Ovis aries: one gene and its partner. The protein of the gene in region 1 purifies or fractionates together with the protein of each later gene. This does not show direct contact. Links are inferred from orthologs where the notes say so. Each region holds a gene or a part of one and is shown on either strand. Other genes may lie near its edges. The genes, in order: KHDRBS1 and PLCG1.

The links.
Region 2: the proteins of KHDRBS1 (region 1) and PLCG1 purify together in Homo sapiens (affinity purification with western blotting; 7 studies listed by BioGRID and IntAct, with this or other methods). This does not show direct contact. The link is inferred for Ovis aries from reciprocal best matches to the Homo sapiens genes KHDRBS1 and PLCG1.

What each region holds. Positions count from the first base shown.
Region 1 is NC_056055.1:235,451,219-235,461,298, reverse strand, and holds part of KHDRBS1 (KH domain-containing, RNA-binding, signal transduction-associated protein 1), read left to right. Parts: intron 1-2,622; coding exon 2,623-2,747; intron 2,748-3,902; coding exon 3,903-4,019; intron 4,020-5,178; coding exon 5,179-5,325; intron 5,326-7,987; coding exon 7,988-8,121; intron 8,122-8,900; coding exon 8,901-9,102; intron 9,103-9,592; coding exon 9,593-9,660; intron 9,661-10,080. UniProt on the Homo sapiens protein: Recruited and tyrosine phosphorylated by several receptor systems, for example the T-cell, leptin and insulin receptors. Once phosphorylated, functions as an adapter protein in signal transduction cascades by binding to SH2 and SH3 domain-containing proteins.
Region 2 is NC_056066.1:69,812,089-69,821,695, forward strand, and holds the end of PLCG1 (1-phosphatidylinositol 4,5-bisphosphate phosphodiesterase gamma-1), read left to right. Parts: intron 1-219; coding exon 220-377; intron 378-1,576; coding exon 1,577-1,673; intron 1,674-1,760; coding exon 1,761-1,985; intron 1,986-2,056; coding exon 2,057-2,205; intron 2,206-2,889; coding exon 2,890-3,004; intron 3,005-3,106; coding exon 3,107-3,268; intron 3,269-3,370; coding exon 3,371-3,459; intron 3,460-3,531; coding exon 3,532-3,716; intron 3,717-3,852; coding exon 3,853-3,895; 3' UTR 3,896-5,653; downstream 5,654-9,607. UniProt on the Homo sapiens protein: Mediates the production of the second messenger molecules diacylglycerol (DAG) and inositol 1,4,5-trisphosphate (IP3). Plays an important role in the regulation of intracellular signaling cascades.

The DNA of each region.
Region 1 (10,080 bases):
TACTTTGCCAACAAAGGTCCCTCTAGTCAAGGCTATGTTTTTTCCAGTGGTCATGCATGGATGTGAGAGTTGGACTGTGAAGAAAGCTGAGTGCCGAAGAATTGATGCTTTTGAACTGTGGTGTTGGAGAAGACTCTTGAGAGTCCCTTGCACTGCAGGGAGATCCAACCAGTCCATCCTAAAGGAGACCAGTCCTGGGTGTTCATTGGAAGGACTGATGCTGAAGCTGAAACTCCCAATACTTTGGCCACCTCATGCAAAGAGTTGACTCATTGGAAAAGACTCTAATGCTGGGAGGAATTGGGGGCAGGAGGAGAAGGGGACAACAGAGGTTGAGATGGTTGGATGGCGTCACCGACTCAATGGACATGAGTTTGAGTGAACTCCGGGAGTTGGTGATGGACAGGGAGGCCTGGCATGCTGTGATTCTTGGGGTTGCAAAGAGTCGGACACGACTGAGCGACTGAACTGAACTGAACTATCTTTAAATTACAGAAGATAGGGACTTCCTTGTTGGCCCAGTGGTTAAGACTCCATGTTGCCAGTGCAGAGGGCACAGATTTGATCCCTGCTTGGGGAACTAAGATCCCACATGCCCCTTGGCATGGCCAAAAATTTTTTTAAAATATGAAAGTTAGAAACACTGGAAATGTTGTATAAGGAGAACATTGTGTTAGAGTATTCCACTGATTTTAGGGCATATAAAAATTTGTTTTATTCTCAGTGGACCATAGTATAATGTTTTAGTTGCTAGTATTCATTGCCTCCATACTCTGCCCCATTTCTGTTAGTACTCCTTTTGTAGCTGTTAACTATTCTTCATTGCCAGCTTCGTATACTGGTACCCCTTGTATATAGACATAGTGGAGATTGGGACCATGTCTAACTGGTTGTGTGGTTTCTCCTATACTTTACAGGGCCAAGTGCCTGGTGCTTAGTGATCATGGTGCTTAGTGATCATACCTATATCTGTCCCTTCGTGTGCCTCACCATAGGAAGCGCTCAGACACTTGGAATCACTGAATAAATGAATGGAGTTTCCTAATGATAGGAATCGTTTGGGATACTAAGGTTCTAGCTGATGAAACTGTCTTAACCTGTGAATTGAAATTACCTTGGTGCATTTTTTCCTTTAGGACACTGAGTGAATTTGGGCTAGAGAGTGTTAAGTAGATATTAAAACACTTCTAAGAAATGTGCTTTTAGGACTTTACTGGTGGTCCAGTGGTGAAGACTCTGGACTTCTGCAGGGGACAGAACTAAGATGAGGGCAGAACTAAGATCCTGCATGGCCAAAAGGAAAAGCAGAAAGAAATGGGCTTTAATTAGCATATTTGCATATTTTATTTTATTTATTTGGCTGTGCCAGGTCTTAGTTGTGGCATACAGCATCTTTTTAATTGCCACATGCAAGATCTAGTTCCCTGACCAGGAATCAAACTCAGGCCCCACTGCATTGGGAGAAAGGAGTCCCAGCCACTGGAACACCAAGGCAGTCCCTCCATGTTACTTTATTCTGTCTTCATAGCAACCTCTTGAGGTAGATACTGCGTCCATTTTACAAATAAGGACATCAAAGTTCAGAGCAGTTAAACTTTTCAGAGTTCACACAACTAGTGAGTGGCAGAGTAAAACCCAGGTCTTTCAGACTTTGAAGGACTGCTACTATCCAAAGCACTACTGTTACAAAATTTTAATAGGACTCTCAGTTGTGTGTTTAAATTAACTTTGTCTCTTCATTAAGATACAGCTTTGGGGACTTACTTAGTGGTCTAGTGGTTAAGAATCCACCTGCCAATGCAGGGGACATGGGTTTGATCCAGCCAGGAAAATTCCACTTGCCTCAGGGCAACTAAGCCCGTGCACCACAACTGCTGAGCGCCCTCACCTTGGGGTTGTGCTCCACAGCAAGAGAAGCCACCACAATGAGAAGTAGAAGCACTGCAGCTGGAGAGTAGCCCCCGCTCACCACAGCTGGAGAAAGCCCAAGTGCAGCAACAAAGATCCAATGCAGCCAAAATACATAAGTAGAATAATAATAATAAAGATATGGCTTTGTACTTTTTCCTGATGCAGGTTTAAATTTTTTCCAGTTTGTTTATCCCCGTTTCCTCATCTCACTCCTGTCTAAAGAACATTGGACTGTCTCTGTAGAGGTTTCTGCTGAAAGTAGAAGAGCAAACTGCCCTTACTAGAAGGAGGCTTTGAGACTTCCCTGGTAGTCCAGTGGTTAAGACTCCAGACTTCCAATGCAGGGGATGAGGGTTCAATCCCTGGTCAGGGAACTAAGATCCCACATATGGCAAAGCAGCTAAGCCTGCAAGCCAAAACAAGAGAGAGTCATGTGCAGTGAAGGATCCCACATAACTCAGAGATCATCCCACATGCCACAACTGAGAGCCAGCATAGCCAAATAAAAAGAAGCAGGCTTTTGGTTTCCTAGTCAACTTCATCTAGCTTTGGTGCTGTCTTTATTTGAAATTAAGGCACTAGTCATCTGAACTATTCATTAATATTTGGTCTCATTACACAGTATTCCCTCTTACTGCTTTAAGTAGACTCAGAATTTTGCCTTTATTTAAAAGAACAAAGCTAAATTAAATTTCTGTTTGTCCTATTCAGAAATTGAGAAGATTCAGAAAGGGGATTCAAAAAAGGACGATGAGGAGAATTACTTGGATTTATTTTCTCACAAGAACATGAAGCTGAAGGAGAGGGTTCTGATACCTGTCAAGCAGTATCCCAAGGTAAGGGAAAGAGTGCCTCATTTCTTTGAATTGGCTTCGTAGTATGAGAATGTGTAGTATGTGGTGTGTCTTGTAGCACCAGCTGTAACAAAAGATTTGCAGAGGTTGTGGGCCTGGTGAAGGTTCTGTCCCATGCTTATAATGACTGTATCCAGCAGGCAAGACACACAGGCCTGCAACTAAGAGCATAGCTACAGCCAGGAAGGAAATGCGACCATCTTTTTATTATCAAAAAAGGAATTTCTTTCTCAAATGTTTGTTTAGCTTCAAGCTTAAAGGAAAAAAATTGAACCGTAATTGTTCTTTGTCGAAAGATTGAGCTGAAGTTTAAATAAAAGAAATACAACACAAATCCTTGTGACACAATGAATAAGTTAATTTTATTTCTTACTCAAAGTTTTTTTGCTCTTGTTTGTTTTTGATTTGGGGTATACTGCTTGTGGTATCTTAGTTCCCTGACCAGGAATGGAACCTGTGACCCTTGCAGTGGAAGCACATGGTTTTAACCAGTGAACCTCAAGGGAATTCCCAAAGTTTCACTTTTAAATAAATGGTTTCTACTACTACTCCTTTTATAAAAAAACAAACTAGTTTTAGTCAGACCAGTACTACCAAAGGGGGGTAACGTATGTCTGTTCTGTTCTAAAGTAACTGCCTTAAAAACGTTTATGTATGTTAAATTACAAAGAGTTGTGGAGTGATAATTTGGAAAGAACATCATACTACATCAGGAATTCAAGTTCCAGAACTGCCGCTTTGCAGTTTTGTGCCATGCCATGCTCAGTTGCTCACTCATGTCCAACTCATTGTGACTGTAGCCTGCCAGGCTCCTCTGTCCCTGGGGTTTTCCAGGCAAGAATACAGAAATAGGTTGCCGTTTTCTCCTCCAGGGGGTCTTTGCAACCCAGAGATTGAACCAGCATCTCCTGCATTGGCAGATGGATTCTTTACCACTGAGCCACCCAGGAAGCCTCTTTCCAGTTGTATAACCTTTGGCTAATCAATTTTATCAGTACCACTTCAGTATATCCTTCAGTAAAATGGGAGTGGTTAGTACTCTACTTCCTTTACAGGAAGTATTGAAGATAAATAATACATATAGAAATATTTTATAGGAACATACACATTTAGAAATCTGTCTTTATTTTCTATCAGTTCAATTTTGTGGGAAAGATCCTTGGACCACAGGGAAATACAATCAAAAGACTGCAAGAAGAGACTGGTGCAAAGATTTCTGTGTTGGGAAAAGGCTCAATGAGAGACAAAGCCAAGGTAAGCTCACATTAATGAGGCAAGAAGACACCCGAATGCCTTCCAGTAACCTAGAGTCCAGTATGGATACCTATGGAAGCTAGTTCTTACGTGTGTACTGAAAGTGATTCCCTTAAATTCGCATTGGATGTGAGAGATTGTAGACCAGTTAATTTACTTTGGCAACCCAAGAAGAACCTTGGTATGCCCTGGTGATTGTTTTCTTTCTGACTTGACTGTGTAGTAATGGAAATAGCAGTAGCAGCTTTGGCCTTTAGTAAGCTTATCTAGGAAAACTTGGAAGGGGAGGCTGAATGTACTGAAACTTACCCAGCTAAAGACACTAAATGTGAAGAGCATTCTGTTTCCAGTTAGTGTGGGAAAATGTGAGCAATAGTGTTGTGAGTGCAGGTGAGTTTGAAGATTAGTTGGCTGGTTTGTTTTATAGCCAGCTGGAATGTGAGGCATGCTAAAGGAAGATGTCACAGAAGGAACCATGAGAAATCCTGACAATAGAATCCAGAGCTTATTTTTCCCCAGGCCATAGCCCCGTATTCTTTATACTCTCTCTAAGTGTGGAGAAACTTCCCACCAAAATAAAATAGTCTTAGCTTTCTAGAATCAGCTTTTTAGATGGGATATAACCTGCTCCAGCCTAAAAACTTAACTCTTTCAGGCCTCCTTGTATGCAGCCTGATTGATGAGCATTTAGGGCTGAAGTATAATACTCTGTTTAATGAGGTGTACATGAGATTTTCTTCTATTGTGACTTTTTTCCTTCTCTATACAAGCAGATCAGAAGAGCTGGTGATTAACAGCTCTACCTGGGGTTTATTAATAAAAGCAAATGCTTGGCAATTAATGAATGAGTGGATGGATGCTTGGCAAACAGCCGTTATCCGAATGGAGACTGGAATTACATTTGTCTCTTCTGTGCCTTCTAATATGAGCTCCAATGAACACACCAGCAATTCAGAACAACAGCTTTTAGCAGCAGACCAATCGCAGGTTTAGCAGACTGTGTAAATTACTGTACTCCAGAGTTTACTTTTTTCTTACACTTTACTGGGTTTTTCTGAGGTGTTGGAGTCATTTCTTACTGTCCCTTTGGCCTAATGGTAAAGGTGTCATTTTCTACATAGTCCAAGTGATAATGTTGTTTCTGTGCATTTTTTCACAGGAGGAAGAGTTGCGCAAAGGTGGAGACCCCAAATATGCCCACTTGAATATGGATCTGCATGTCTTCATTGAAGTCTTTGGACCCCCATGTGAGGCTTATGCTCTTATGGCCCATGCTATGGAGGAAGTCAAGAAGTTTCTAGTACCAGTAAGGAAATCCATATCCTGTATCATTTGAGCAAGAGAAAACTAGGATCTTGTGCTTATTGCTAAGGCAGGGGTTCTTAACCAGGGTCTCTGCATAACCTGAAATTGCATATCCAATTCTGCATTTATGTTCATTTTTCTGAGGTAGTCCATTACTTGCACCTAGTTCTCAAACCACTGTGCCCCGAGGCCACTCTACCAGTCCTAGTTTTAATGTGATTTTAGTTGTATGCCAGTATCTTTTGTCAATATCTTGGATCCACAGTATGTCTTGGCATTCCAACATTTGGTTAACAAAGATTTAACAAGGTCTTCAATAAATTAAGTATTTTGGTGCTAGTATGGAACCAGGAGATTATGACAGGAAAATGGTGAAGGTGGTTGTAACCCCCCTGCAGTTAAGGGGTTATAGTATAGACTCCTGAGAGTCTAGATGATGATAACAGTATCATCTAGTCTGATGATGTGTTATCTGGCCTCCAGTGTTAATGGGTTAAATTCTGACCTGAGTGCATTCAAGACTCTGTCCTGGAGGAGTTTACTCAAGTAGAGTTGATTTGAAGGAGGCATGATGGTTGTAGGCGTTAACTGTTAATGACGTTAAACAGATTGGTATATAGCTTCTTTCAGAATGTATTTAAGGCCTTGGAAGAGTTGGAACAGACCAGGTTACCTGTCTTCCTTATTACCACCTGGTCAGAGGTTATTCATTCTTTGAATAAGTAGGAAATGATGACTTTTTGCCTTTTGACAAGACCTGGTAATTTTCAGAGTTAACATACTACTTAGTGTTCAATATTTAATAACCAAAGAAGACTCTGGGACCTTAGGAAGCATTTGGAGTACTATTCAACTAGAATTGAGTAAGCACCATAGTTTCATCACTGAGAAGAGATGATACATAGTTCTTGGTTTTCTTATACATGTAAAATGAGGGAGTTGGAACTGTCAGAGGCTGTGAGAATTGGCAGAGCAAAAATATATAGGCAGTGTGTCTCTATAATGCTGAGCTCCAAGGATTCCAGCACTGTCTCAAATGTCTAAGCTGCTCTGCTTCTAAGTATGTTGTCATTAGAATGTTCAGCTTGAAACAGCATATTTAAAATATCCTAGAAAAAACTCAGAGCTGGTAAATTTTCCCTTGAGGGGCTTCTTTACTCTTTGAGGTGTGTACTGAAGCATCCTGAGCCATCCGTTTTCTGAAGAACTGCAGAGGAATGCCCATCTTCTCTTTATCATTAATCTCAGCATATTTCTGAAAAGAGCTACATCTCCAAGACTTCCATGTAAGTGGGTCTTCAAAAAAGAAGCCTACCAAGGAGATCTGGGTTTCCTCAGTGTTGCTATGGCAGCTAGAGAAATCTGAGCAAATGGCCCATCACTGGTCACTTGATTCTCTAATGGGAGTCTCACGCAGTAGAAATGTGTAAGGTAGGAAGAGGTGAAGAGTCAGGGGGTGGAGGTGGAGGGAGCATCTCTGTGGCGACTAGAATCTTTTAGAAGCTGTATACACCTGGGATATATAAAAGTGCACTAAGTATTGAGACTGAATGACTCTCATCAGGAAATATGTGAAAAGATTTACAAATGGCATTTGACTCGGTTCTTCCTCCTTGTAAAGAAAACAGATGAGCCTGTTTTTGCATCTGTGACCAGAGCCCTCCGTTTTCCCCTTAGAGACTGGTACAGTAGGAAGAGCACTGGACTGGGAGCTTTATCTGAATCATCTTGGACAAGTTATTATATCACTTTTTTGAGCCTCAGTTTCCTTGTTCATCCCAAACATTTGTTAAGTATCTGGTAGGTGCTGAATACTATGCTTGGGTCTGAAGTTACAGAAATGGTTCTTGAAGAGGTTATAACCTAGTGAGAAAGACAGACAGACATTTTTTAAATGATGTGGTAAGTGCTTAGAGAAGATTACATTGTGCCATGGGAAAAGAGAGTGAGGAGTTGGCATCAAGAGAAAGTTTTTCAAAAGAGGTAATACTTTTGATTAAATCTTATAAGAATTAGAGTCCTTCAGGTGGACAAAAAAAGGCAACAATATATTGATTAATTGATACATTAATGATTCAAAGCCTTGATTTTGGAGATTCTGAATTAACATATAGAATCTGCCACTCACTAGCTCTATGTCTTTATATTGGTTGTTTTATGCTTTCTGAATCTGTTTTCCCAAATGGGAAGATCTGCCTACTTCAGGATTATTTTGAAGATTAAACTGAAAACCCTATGTAAGGCTTATTATATGGTACCCAGCTGTAGAGCTTAATTAATGGTAGTGGCTTTTATTATTCTAGGAAAAGGAAACTGTTTGCAAGAATGGATGTGTATGAGTATGCCGTGTTCTGAACTGCAAGTTGTTCAGCATGGCTTGAAAGGAGGTTATACATGGATAGAGGATGGAAGTGATCTGGAGAGCTAGGCAGGGACCACATCTTGGAAGAACTTCATCTGAACGATGAGGGGCCTACCATCAAGATTTTCCTCAAAGAGGTGACAGGTAGCGTGCCATTTGACTTCAGAGAATGAACAATCTGAGATTTCATCTGGGCTTTCAGAGTTATTCTTCACATCCAAGGCTCATGTGGGCTAGATGACTTCTCAGCAGAAGGTAGAGATGTTGCACAATACTCCCTCTCATTATCTTTTATCCACAGGATATGATGGATGATATCTGCCAGGAGCAATTTCTAGAGCTTTCCTACTTGAATGGAGTACCAGAGCCCTCCCGTGGACGTGGGGTGCCAGTGCGAGGCCGGGGAGCTGCACCACCTCCTCCACCTGTTCCCAGGTAAAAATAATAGAGACAGGTAGAAATGGGATGTAAATCTGACTGCTAGTACCATTTCTATCTTCCTGCTGCCCTTATCTCCAGCTTAGAAGGGGTCTCCGGATGTGTATGTTGCATCGAGAGTAGAGTTCTAGGGTGTTCCCTGGTGATCTAGTGGTTAGGATTTGGCACGTTCACTGCTGTGACCCAGGTTCAATCCCTAATCAGGGAAACTGAGATCCTGCAAGTCATGCGGCACAGCAAAAAAAAAAAAGTGGAATTTTAGATCTTGGTTACTTTGGCTGTAAGCAGGTGCAGCAGTCCTGCCAAAACTGGTGTTTGTTTTTAACTTTTGAACAGTTTTCAGCATTTTTAAATGGTATCTGACTTTAGAATTTTACCTTTGCTGACTGACCTTTATGGACTATTCAGACTCTTAAGACAGACTGTCCACTAATAATATATTAGCAGGTCCACCATGGGCCTGGGGAACCTTCCAGAATGGGTCCTTTACCTACCTACACGTCCCTCTGTGGTTTTGTTTTGTTTTGTTTTGGCTGTGCTGCACAGCTTGTGGGATCTTAACTCTAGGACCAGGAATTGAACCCTGGCCACAGGAGTGACAGCACTGAGCCTTAACCACTGGACCCCCAGGGAAGTCCCCATTCCTCTGTTTTGATAATAGTCAACTTAAGGCATCATAAAATCTCCTACCTGGCTCCAGAATTTTAAGACAAGTCTGAACATGAAAGTAGCCTATTTATTAAAAATATCCATTTAAAATACACTCTTTTTTACAGGGGCCGTGGCGTTGGGCCACCTCGGGGGGCTTTAGTGCGTGGTACACCAGTGAGAGGAGCCATCACGAGAGGTGCCACTGTGACTCGAGGGGTGCCACCCCCACCTACTGTGAGGGGTGCTCCAGCACCAAGGGCACGGACAGCAGGCATCCAGAGAATACCTTTGCCTCCGCCGCCTGCGCCAGAAACATATGAAGAATATGTAAGACGTTTGGACCATGTGCCATTTCTTAATAGCTAACAGATTGTCAAAGGAAGTTGAGTGACAGGGCCTTGGCCCTTGATGTAGGTGGCAGGAACTGCCTGTAAGGTTTAGAATCTGCCTTCTTCTGTTGCAGTGATTGTTAAACTATGAGAGAAGATTTTTCCATTTTAAGTATAATTTACTATATACATATGTAGATGAAACAGGAAATAAGCTGTGCCTTGATGTGTAGTGTTTTAATAAGGGGACTCCTCCTACTACTACTGATAATGCTGATAAAGTTCAACCTTGAACCTTATTTCCTGCCCAAGCTGAAAGGGTTTTTTTAATTTGATTGATCGTTTTCTAAACCTTTCTCTCTTGACTATTCCACAACAGATGTTAATACTTTAGAGGGAAATTCCATGTTCTGTTCATTCATAAGCCCTCCATATTGCCTTAGCTACTTTGTGTGATTTTGACTTTTTCTGTTTCATTTCGTTTGTAGGGATATGATGATACATACGCAGAACAGAGTTATGAAGGCTATGAAGGCTATTACAGCCAGAGCCAAGGGTGAGTCAGGCAGTGGAATTGCTGTTTCATGTCCTTGGGATATAGAGGGAGTTGGAAGAACTGGGAGATTTAGGCAGAACAAATCTAAGGAGCAGATGGATCACCTTTTCAGAGTGTTGCCTCTGCTTGTGACATCTGTAAGGCACACACCTGGATCTGCAGATTTGGAAAACTGTGAATCTTAAATTATAATGCTGAATCTGGGATTAGCATATGAAAAATTCCTTAGCTGTGACTACATGGGAACAAAGGGAAAATGCCTTAAAATTGTTTTGATTAGTTATTTTAAAATGTCACAACTACATTAAAGTTGCATAGAAGTTTAAAAGGGTACTAGATTCCCATTACTTAACTCAGATTTTTTCTGCTCTTTTTTTAAAAAACACGTTTTTGTGTATGTGTATATATGTGTCTAAACTG
Region 2 (9,607 bases), on another chromosome or scaffold:
GCAGACACTGGGGATGATGCCGCTGGCGAGCTGAAGTCCGTGGTCTTGGAGGGCTGGTCCTTGGCTGAGACAGGCTTAGAGGTGGGGGCAGGGGCTTGTCTCTGGGCTGCCCGTCCTCCACCCTGAAGAGGAAGGGAGTGAGCTCTGCCCATGCTTGGGGTGGGGTGGGGGCTCAGCCCCGTATCCCCAGCTCTCCTCTCCTCTCCTCCCTCCCTCCAGCCATCCGTCCCGAGGGCAAGAACAACCGGCTGTTCGTCTTCTCCATCAGCATGGCCTCAGTGGCACACTGGTCCCTGGACGTGGCTGCCGACTCACAGGAGGAGCTTCAGGACTGGGTGAAGAAGATCCGGGAGGTGGCGCAGACGGCGGACGCCAGGGTGAGAGCCTGTGCTGGTCCTCCAGCCGCGGGGCAGCCCCCGCTGCTTGGCAGAGGCTGGAGGGACACACGTGCTCCGCAGTGTGGCATGTTGGGGGTGTGTTGAGTTTGAGGTATACCCAAGACGTTCCTGAGTGGCTCTGCGTAGTGACCAGTTGGTGTCAAGGGTAGAGGCGAGAGGCTAGGTCCTGGGCTGGAAGCAGGAGTAGGTGCCCAAGGTTTAGGGTGACGTGGTACAGGTTGGGAGCAGAGTGTGACCTCTGAGGACGCAGGTGTTGAGAAACAAGAGGCCAGGATGAGCAGACCAGTGAGGCCGGGTGTCTGACGTGAGGCGGGCCACAGAGCAGACAGCAGGGCCAGAAGCTCAAAGTGCTGGTTGTAGACGGCCGTGGCCGTGGGCGGTCACGGCTGGGTGGTATGGCAGTGGGCCTCGGCTGGTGGAGGGCAAGGGCGCCGCCTGTGCAGAGCAGGGCGGTGGAAGGACCAGCTTTTAGAGGTGAGAGGAGGGCGTGCTGGCCGGGGTGTGGGAATCCTGCAGTGGGGTGGAGGGGCTGCGGGACACACCGTGGCTGCCTTGGAGAAAGGATGCCCGCAGGCCAAGCCGAGAGGGCTGGGTGCGGAGGACTTAGAGTCGAGCAGGGCCTGGAAGGACCAGGCTGGAAGGATCTGGTGGTTGAAGGGATGGAACCTGGGGTCTGGGCTATGGAGGGAAGGAAGAGCTCGAGAACAGGAGCTGCTTCTGGAAGGAAGCGGGCCTCCACGAGTCCGAGGGCCGCACGGGGTGCTAGTGAGGGATGTGCTGGGGCTGAAGTCTGGCCGTGGCGGGTAGGTGGTGGTTTTGAGAAAGGAGAACTGCGAGGTGAGAGGTGAGGCTTCTGGGCCAGGGCTGGAAGGATGGTCCCAAGGACCCAGAGGACTGCGCCCACGTTCCCAGTGCAGTCAGTGCCCGTGGCAGGCCCAGAGCTGAGGACCAAGTAGCCCTGAGGTGCAGCCGGCCCAGCGCCCTGAAGTGTCTCTGAGGCGCAGGTGGTGTGAGGATCCCGGCCTCTGAAGCTGGGAGGGTGTGTTGTCCTCAGGACGGTTTCTGGGGTGTGACTGAGGACAGCCGGGTCTGGAAGGTGCGAGTGGGCATGCCCAAGGTGGCCGGGGGCTCCTCTCTCTGGGGGCTCCAGCCCGGGCTCAGGGCCCATGTGTCCCCAGCTCACCGAGGGCAAGATGATGGAGCGGAGGAAGAAGATCGCTCTGGAGCTCTCAGAGCTCGTCGTCTACTGCCGGCCTGTCCCCTTCGATGAAGAGAGTAAGGGTCCAGCCCGGGGTTGGGAGGGGGCTGGCCCCAGCAGCACCTGGATGGGCGGACTCTGAGCGCGCTCCCTGTTGGGCCCAGAGATTGGCACCGAACGCGCCTGCTACCGTGACATGTCATCCTTCCCGGAGACCAAGGCCGAGAAGTACGTAAACAAGGCCAAAGGCAAGAAGTTCCTCCAGTACAACCGCCTGCAGCTCTCCCGCATCTACCCTAAGGGTCAGCGGCTGGACTCCTCCAATTACGACCCCCTGCCCATGTGGATCTGCGGCAGCCAGCTTGTGGCCCTCAACTTCCAGACCCCAGGTGAGGCAGCGGCCGGGGGCAGGGTCCTGCCGGGCACTGGGGCTGGAGTCCACTGTAACCCGCTCTTGCAGACAAGCCCATGCAGATGAACCAGGCCCTGTTCCTGGCTGGCGGGCACTGCGGCTATGTGCTGCAGCCCAATGTCATGCGCGATGAGGCCTTCGATCCCTTTGACAAGAGCAGCCTCCGCGGGCTGGAGCCGTGCGCCATCTGCATCGAGGTGGGAAGGGGGCGCTCTCCTGGGCTGGTTCTAGGCGCCAGGGCCGGGGGGCTGGCTAACGTGACATGGGAGGGGTGCTGGACAATCCTGGAGCTTGAGGGAGACGAAGCCATTCTCTGAGGTGGGCGTGGGGCTTCAGGCCTGCACCAGAGGACTGGGCTCAGTGTGGCCAGTTCTTGGCACTCGGGAGTCATGCGGTCCAGTAATACCAAACCGTGGATAGCCACTGCCTGGCAGGAGTGGGCAGAGACAGGCAGGGAACTGGTGCCCCTGCCACAGGAATCGGCTTGATGGTACTTGCTAGAACGGGGGCTTGAACAGCACTGAGCTCCCATGCCACCCTCTCGAGGCCCCAGGGGAGCAGCTGTGATGCGGGCGGCTTGGTGCTGTGGGGTGCAGGGGGTGTGGGCCCGAGTGGGTCTCAAAGGAGAAACGAGGACAGAGTGGGGGTGACCATGTCTTTTTTCCAGAGATTTCTACTTTTTTGTCCCGGGGGGAAGTAATTTAAACATTTTCGTATTAAAATGCACATGGATTTAAGGTAGGTTAGAGTGCAAAGACTCACATGGGACTTCTGGGCAGTGTCCTGAGGGCCCAGCAGAGGGCGCACTGCCTCCGCCGCTCATTGGGGACCGGGTGTGAGTCGGAAGGACCAGCCCAGGCCCATCCTTGCCTGCCTTACAGGTACTGGGGGCCCGGCACCTGCCGAAGAACGGCCGAGGCATCGTGTGTCCTTTTGTGGAGATCGAGGTGGCTGGAGCCGAGTATGACAGCATCAAGCAGAAGACGGAGTTTGTGGGTACGTCTCCCCTCCCCACACCCCCGGGCATGTCAGACCCCCTGCGCCTGTGACTCCATCCTCCCGGCAGTGGCCTGAGGCCTTCTGCCCTTGCTTTTGCAGTGGACAATGGACTGAACCCTGTGTGGCCAGCCAAGCCCTTCCACTTCCAGATCAGTAACCCCGAGTTCGCCTTCCTGCGCTTTGTGGTCTATGAGGAGGACATGTTTAGTGACCAGAACTTCCTGGCTCAGGCTACCTTCCCGGTGAAGGGTCTGAAGACAGGTGAGGGCCCTTCCTCCACGCCGTGCCCACCGTGATCCGGCTCAGGGGTGGGGCAGCTTGCTGGCGTCCCCCTGGGCTAAGGGCCAAGCCTCCTCCCCCCAGGCTACAGAGCGGTGCCTCTGAAGAACAACTACAGTGAGGGCCTGGAGCTGGCCTCCCTGCTCGTCAAGATTGACGTCTTCCCCGCCAAGGTACCGGCGGGCGGGCGGGCAGAGGGGCGGTGCGGGGCCCGGCAGCCACTGAGCCCTGTGTCCCTGCCGAAGCAGGAGAACGGCGACCTCTGCCCCTTCGGGGGTGCGTCCCTGCGGGAGCGGAGCTGCGACTCGGGCCCACTGTCCCACGGCCGAGCCCGGGAGGGCTCCTTCGAAGCTCGCTACCAGCAGCCCTTTGAGGACTTCCGTATCTCCCAGGAGCATCTCGCAGACCATTTTGACGGTCGGGATCGCAGGTGAGGGGTGGGGGCAAGGTGGCCTGGAGAAGGGGTCCTGAGAGGCTGAGGGGGTGGCTGGCTGCCCTCAGTTCCCCTCGCCCATCCCCCTGGGCCTCAACCTGCTGCCCGTCAGGATGCTCTTCCTCCTGCCCAGGGCCCCGCGCAGGACTCGGGTCAACGGAGACAACCGCCTCTAGCTGTGCCCCAGCCTCGCGGAGAGCAGCAGGTGCCGTGCTGCGCACGGAGAGGGGGCCGTGGACTGGTTCCAGGGAAGTGGCCTATGGGGCCGCCCTTCCTGGCCTCGCCACCTAGAGCCCGGATTCCAGCAGTGGACGCTAGACGAAAAGCACGCCATTAATGAGATGTATTCCTATTCTGGGCCTCCACGTCCCAGCCTTGGGTGAAGGCAAAAAACTGTACTGTCTGGCCTTGAAGCACACACACCTGGCCCTGCCTTCTGGGGATGGAGCCTTCCGTCTTGGGACTACCACGGCCACTGCCTCTCGGAGAGAGAGGCTGCCTCAGCTGGCCGCACAGGAGGCTCAGGAGCCGCTGACATTCCTGAGAGGAGCGGAGCAACAGCAGCCTCGCTGGGCTCCGGAGTCAACGTTTACACAGTCCTGCAGCTTTAAACCCCAGCCAGGCAGGGAGGGAGGGGAGGTGTCCTGGAGCCCGGGCGGAGGAGCACAGGGCCTGCCTGGAGAGCAGGGTACAGCACAAGGGCACGCTGCCCATGACCAGGAGCGCCACCCACCTGACTGACACAGAGCCTCGTGTGCAGGGCAGCAGTATCGGGCAGCCAGGCCATGAGGGGCCTGTGGAGGAGCCTGAGGTGGCCCAGGGTGCCACCTGGGACAGAGAGAGCGATAGCGGGTTGCAGGGCCACAGCTGCAGCGCCTCGGGGCCATGGGAGGACAGCGGCCCTGGGGCACCCACTGGGCCGCAGTGCCCCCTGCCTGCAGCCTGGGCGCAAGCCTGAAGGACCCGCTCACCAGGGGGCACATGTCTGTGGGCACTGGGCAGCAGGCGGCTCCTCCCACATCATCAGTGAGGACGTGCCTGTGTTTGCGTCACGGCCCCCCAAGAGCCAGAGCAAGACGCCAGCTGGGTCAGGACTGATGGGCACCTATGGGCCCAGAGTGGAAAGGCCAGTCCCCACAGCAGAGGTCCAGCTGGGCACTGGCCGCCACACGTTCAGGAAACGCCCTCTCAAAAGGAACATGTCCGTCCACAGCAGCTCAGCAGGCCAGCCGTGAGTCCCAAATCAGAGTGAAGACCATTTTCCCTGTCACAGCAAGACACCTTGGATCAGAGTCTGCCAGACGACCCTGCAAGAGGACGCTGTCTGGGTGATCTTGAGTGTTTGTGAAGTCAATCAGGTCCTGACAATAGATGGACGTGATGTTGGAGTATGGACTTGTAAAGTTTATTTTTGCACACTCTGTCTCTCACGACCTTCATTCCTTCATGTAGGATGTATGATTTTCTATGTCTTCCACTTCTGACCTGAAAGCTGCTTGGTGGGGGGATGGGACTGGGGAAGCAAAATGAACGAACTTATCTGCACACTGTGGCAGACCTGTTATTTTTACGGATTTACAGCTCAGTTACCAGTGTTACCTTTTTAAGATTTCTATATACTCTTCAGAAGAACCACTGAGCCATTCAAGCCTTGTTATTATCTGATCCCAATAGTGATTCCATTTTCTATAGCTTTTAGGATAGACAATAAATTATTTAACATTATATTAAAACTTTCCATATCATGAACTGTAAACCGAAGGAAATCACACAGTTTCTCAGAAAACGTATTGATTTATTTAAACTAATTCTGAAATGGTATTTCACAGTACCACCTCCCAATCAGCTGTCCATAGCAAACATGTCTATATATGGTTGCCAACGTTTCGTTTATAATTTAAATGTTAATAAAAATTTTAAATTTTATTGAAAAAGCTTTCCTTCTGAAAAGGACTGTAAAAAGTGGAATTACTTCTCAGTGGCACCATGATGACGTTCTGCTCTTCCTGCTGCTCAGCCTTGGTGGGCGAGGGGCGGGAGGCGAGGACGCGGAGCAAAGCCAGCCGATGACGCAGGTTTCTTTAAAGGCAAAGATGACGCGAGATGCTATCCCTCAGGAAGAAGGAGGAATGAAGGAGCCGCCGGCTTTGCAGGGCACAGGCCATTGGTTATTGATGGACCCTGCTGCACCCATGGCAGGTTCTGCCCGGCTGGTGGAAAGATCCAAGGCAGGTGTGGAAGGCTGGAGGGGCGCAGCCCCACTTCAAAGGACAGGGGCCAGAGACCCAGCCTGTGGGCACGAAGGTGCCTTAGAACAGCCAGCCCTGAGCTCGCGCCAACCTGCCGCCAAACCCAGGCTTGAGGCTGGTCGTTCGCTACGCTGCCCACTTAAGATCTAACTGCCACACAAAGTTATTCTCATGTCTTTTATCCTGTAACTTTTGAGTTCTTTCTGAGGCGCGGGAACACCTGCTCCTCTCCAGAGACGTGTTAACCAGGGCTGCTTGCCTGGTGGTTATTCTGCAATAGAAGCAGGTGAGGAGGTTTTTTACTTCCCAGGTCCAGCAGACCTTCCCTCTGAGCTGTGACGCGGTGTGAGGCCACCCTCTCCCCCAGCTCACGTGCCGAGCGTGAGGCAGCGTAGAGTGCTGCCCGCCTGCAAGCAGCCAGAGTCCCTTCCCAGTTCTGCAGAAACTGCTCCTTTAAAAACAAGGCCCACACAGCATTCAAGTGTAGGTTTCTGGGTTATACTCGGGTTGCATCTAGAGCTTGGGGCCGAAGTCTTTGTGCCTAGAATATGGTTTAAAGGGCCCTGCCCTTCCCTTCCTGTGGCTGTTTTTGTAGTGGTGTGTGCTGGTGGATCAAAAATGATGCTGTACAGAGAAGAAAGCTGCCTCCCTGTTGGATGCATGGGTGGGGATGGGCGTAATATGCCAGCCCAGGAAGCCTGAGGGTGATTGTTGAAGAGACACAGGTAAGTGTAATCAGTTGGTTCTTAAAATGGTCCTCATGTGACATATGGCCCTGGTGTGTGCAAGTATGTAGGGATGCAAGTATGGTCCCTGGCTTTGGAGAGGCTGAAGGTTTTGAAGATGAGCTCAAGGCAGGTTTTTTATAGAGTTAACAGTTCAGAGTATCCCTTTCCTATATGACAAGTCAGACCAAGACATGCATTTCCCAAGTTCTCAGATTTGGGGCCAGTCCTGGTCCATTGCAGGCCCCTCTGAGCACCATCCACTTGGAGAACTGGGATCACAGTTTGAGATCCTTCCTGTTGTCCCTGAACTAGATGTAGCCAAAAGCCCTGCTCAGGTTCTCACTGTCGCCTCAGCTTTCTTGGCGCTTCGTGGTCTGACTCGGAGAAGGATGTCTTCCCCCTCGGACAAGAAGGTGGTAGGCAGGGATTAACGCAGTCTTCCTGACCCGTGTGTTCCCAGATTTTCGCGGGCAGGAGCGAGCTTTGCTGACCAGCGGTGGAAGAGGTGGTGGGTGGGTGGGGCCTGGGCTGGGGCCCGGGTGCGCTGTCATGGGCCTGCCCACTTTGATTTTACCCAGTGGGCCTGCTCCGTCACTGGCTCTGCTGTTGGGCAGCCCCACTGACTGGAGGAGACACCTGCCTTCGCCCTTCCCTGTAAGTTTCTTGATCCTTCTTCCTAGCAGAAAATGTGGCAGCAGATTCGAGCAGATCCACAGATTGAGCTTAACCCGAATTCCTCCAGACCTGACAATGGTTGAGTGACCAGGAGGCCCAGCATGGGGGTGGGGGCTGTGGGGAGGCCCTCACTTCAGGCGGAAGTGTCCTGGCCCGCAGTGGGGAGTAGCCTGCTTCTCCACCTGCTCACACACAGCACCGACTGCAAGAGCAGGGGCTTTCTGCATCCAGAGCAACCCCCAACCCCTGCCCCCCCACCCCCACCTTTCCTGCCAGGAGGAGGCCTGAGTGGTTTCTGACCTCAGCCAGGGACACCACCCTTGACAAGGATCTGTGGTCTTGGTGCTGAGGGCAGGGCCTCCCTCCTGACCAGGCACATCCTGAACATCATTGCCCAAGGCTGGGCCTGGGGCTGGACACTCACTAGCCTTTCAGCTTGAGTTCATCCCCTCCCACCATTTCAGTTCTTGGGGGAAAAACAACTCAAGTGGCATTAGGTCACTGCACCAAAGGAGCTCGTGGAACAAAACAAGGTCACATCAGTTAAACTGACCAAGTCTGGTCTCAGCCCGAGGGCCCTCAGTGGCCCTTCCGGGACCTGACCAGGGTTCTGTTCCCTGCTGGAGGCCTCTGCAGCTGCCTCAGGACACCCGCAGTGACCCCTGGCCACCCCTGCTGTCCACTCCGTCCACGCGAGCGGCCGAGCCTGCAGCTACCGTGGGTCGGCTGTTCAGGTTCTACACTCAGCTGGTCTTTCTCCCGTAGACTTCTTTTAGATTCCACACAAAGTTCCTTCCCTAAGACTTAGGTCACCTCCAGAAGGGCCAGGTCAGGACCAGGACCTGGGATCCACCTGGGATCCCTCCTTACTATCTCTCTGCCCCTGGGGCTTTTTCAAGGGTCCTTTTTCCCTTTTGGCACAGGCCTTTAGGATCCCCTGTAAGGTTCAATCACTGTGAACATTAGAGGCTGGGCTTTAATCCTGTTCCTTCAAGGCCCCAGGGCTTTAGGCTCATTTGCCAATCTCTCCTTAGCAAATGACAAGTTTCTCAGTATTTTCCTCCAGGAAGTGTCTTCTCACTGGATGCCTGACAGCTCTAGGTCTGACTCAGTTTCCCTCTGTTTAGCATGAGTCCATGGGTGCTGCAGTCCTTTATCTAGTGACCCAGCCGGCTGGACACGGCGAGCTGGAACTTACCCGGAGCGCCCGAGGGAAACTGCACTGCTCGTCCCTCCAAGTTGCTGGTCTTGCCTACAGAGTAAGTCCAGAGATGTCAGTGTTCTCAGCTTTTTTTCTGATTCCCCCACAAAACAGTCCACAGGTTTGAAATGTATTTACATTTTTATTTAGGAGCAATCAAAAGATTTAAAGTACCATTTCGGCCCATTTCAAATTGTACAAGCAGTTTGGCCCTGTTCCCCTCCCTTATCCAAATCCACAGATATAAAATCTAGGAAATGTGCAATTTGCATCTTAGAAATAGCAGCATCCCCACAGGGGACCTTGTGAGGCCTGGAGACTCAGCCCAGAGGGCAGCCCCCTCCTCCTGGCCCAGCACAGCCACCATCCAAAGGCAAGTTCCAACTTTCTGTTAAAAACACCTTCCTGGGGTGAGGACTGCGCTTCCGCCAGGCCTGGTGACAGCCCGCGTGGGCCTGTGCCTCCCTCGACGGAGGAGGAGGGCCCTGGACGGACAGAATAGGGCAGTGGCCTCTTAGCACCAAGATGATGGCTGCTGCGGTGGCTCCAGGGCAGGAAGCACACCTCCAGCCAGCTGCCCCTGCCCTCCCAGCCTTCCTCCCACAGCCGCCCTCGCCCGCGCTCAGGGAACAAAAGGTCTGTGCTGAAGACCAGCCCGTGAGTGGGCGGCAAAAAACCAGCCACCAGGGAGGCAGACAGACCCTGCTCGCCTCTGGCAACCTCTGGCCTGGCACAGAGGCTGCGCTCAGTGCACTTTTAGTCGACTGCACAGACAGGGATGAGGGGGTCTCCAACAATGATGGCACAGTCCGGCCCCCTGGACACACTGAACGAAGTGGTGCTGGGGAGCTGGGCAGGAACCCACTGCTCAGGGGTGACCCCCTCTCCCATCAGCATCACCCTACAGCCTGTGACCAGGCTGCATCCACCCATGGGGGCGCTGGCTCTCCAGGCCACAGGGGCAGCAAACTGGATGGGAAAGCTGGTGGGGCAGGACCCAGGGTGAGGGACAGCGTCCCCGAACACGAATCGCAG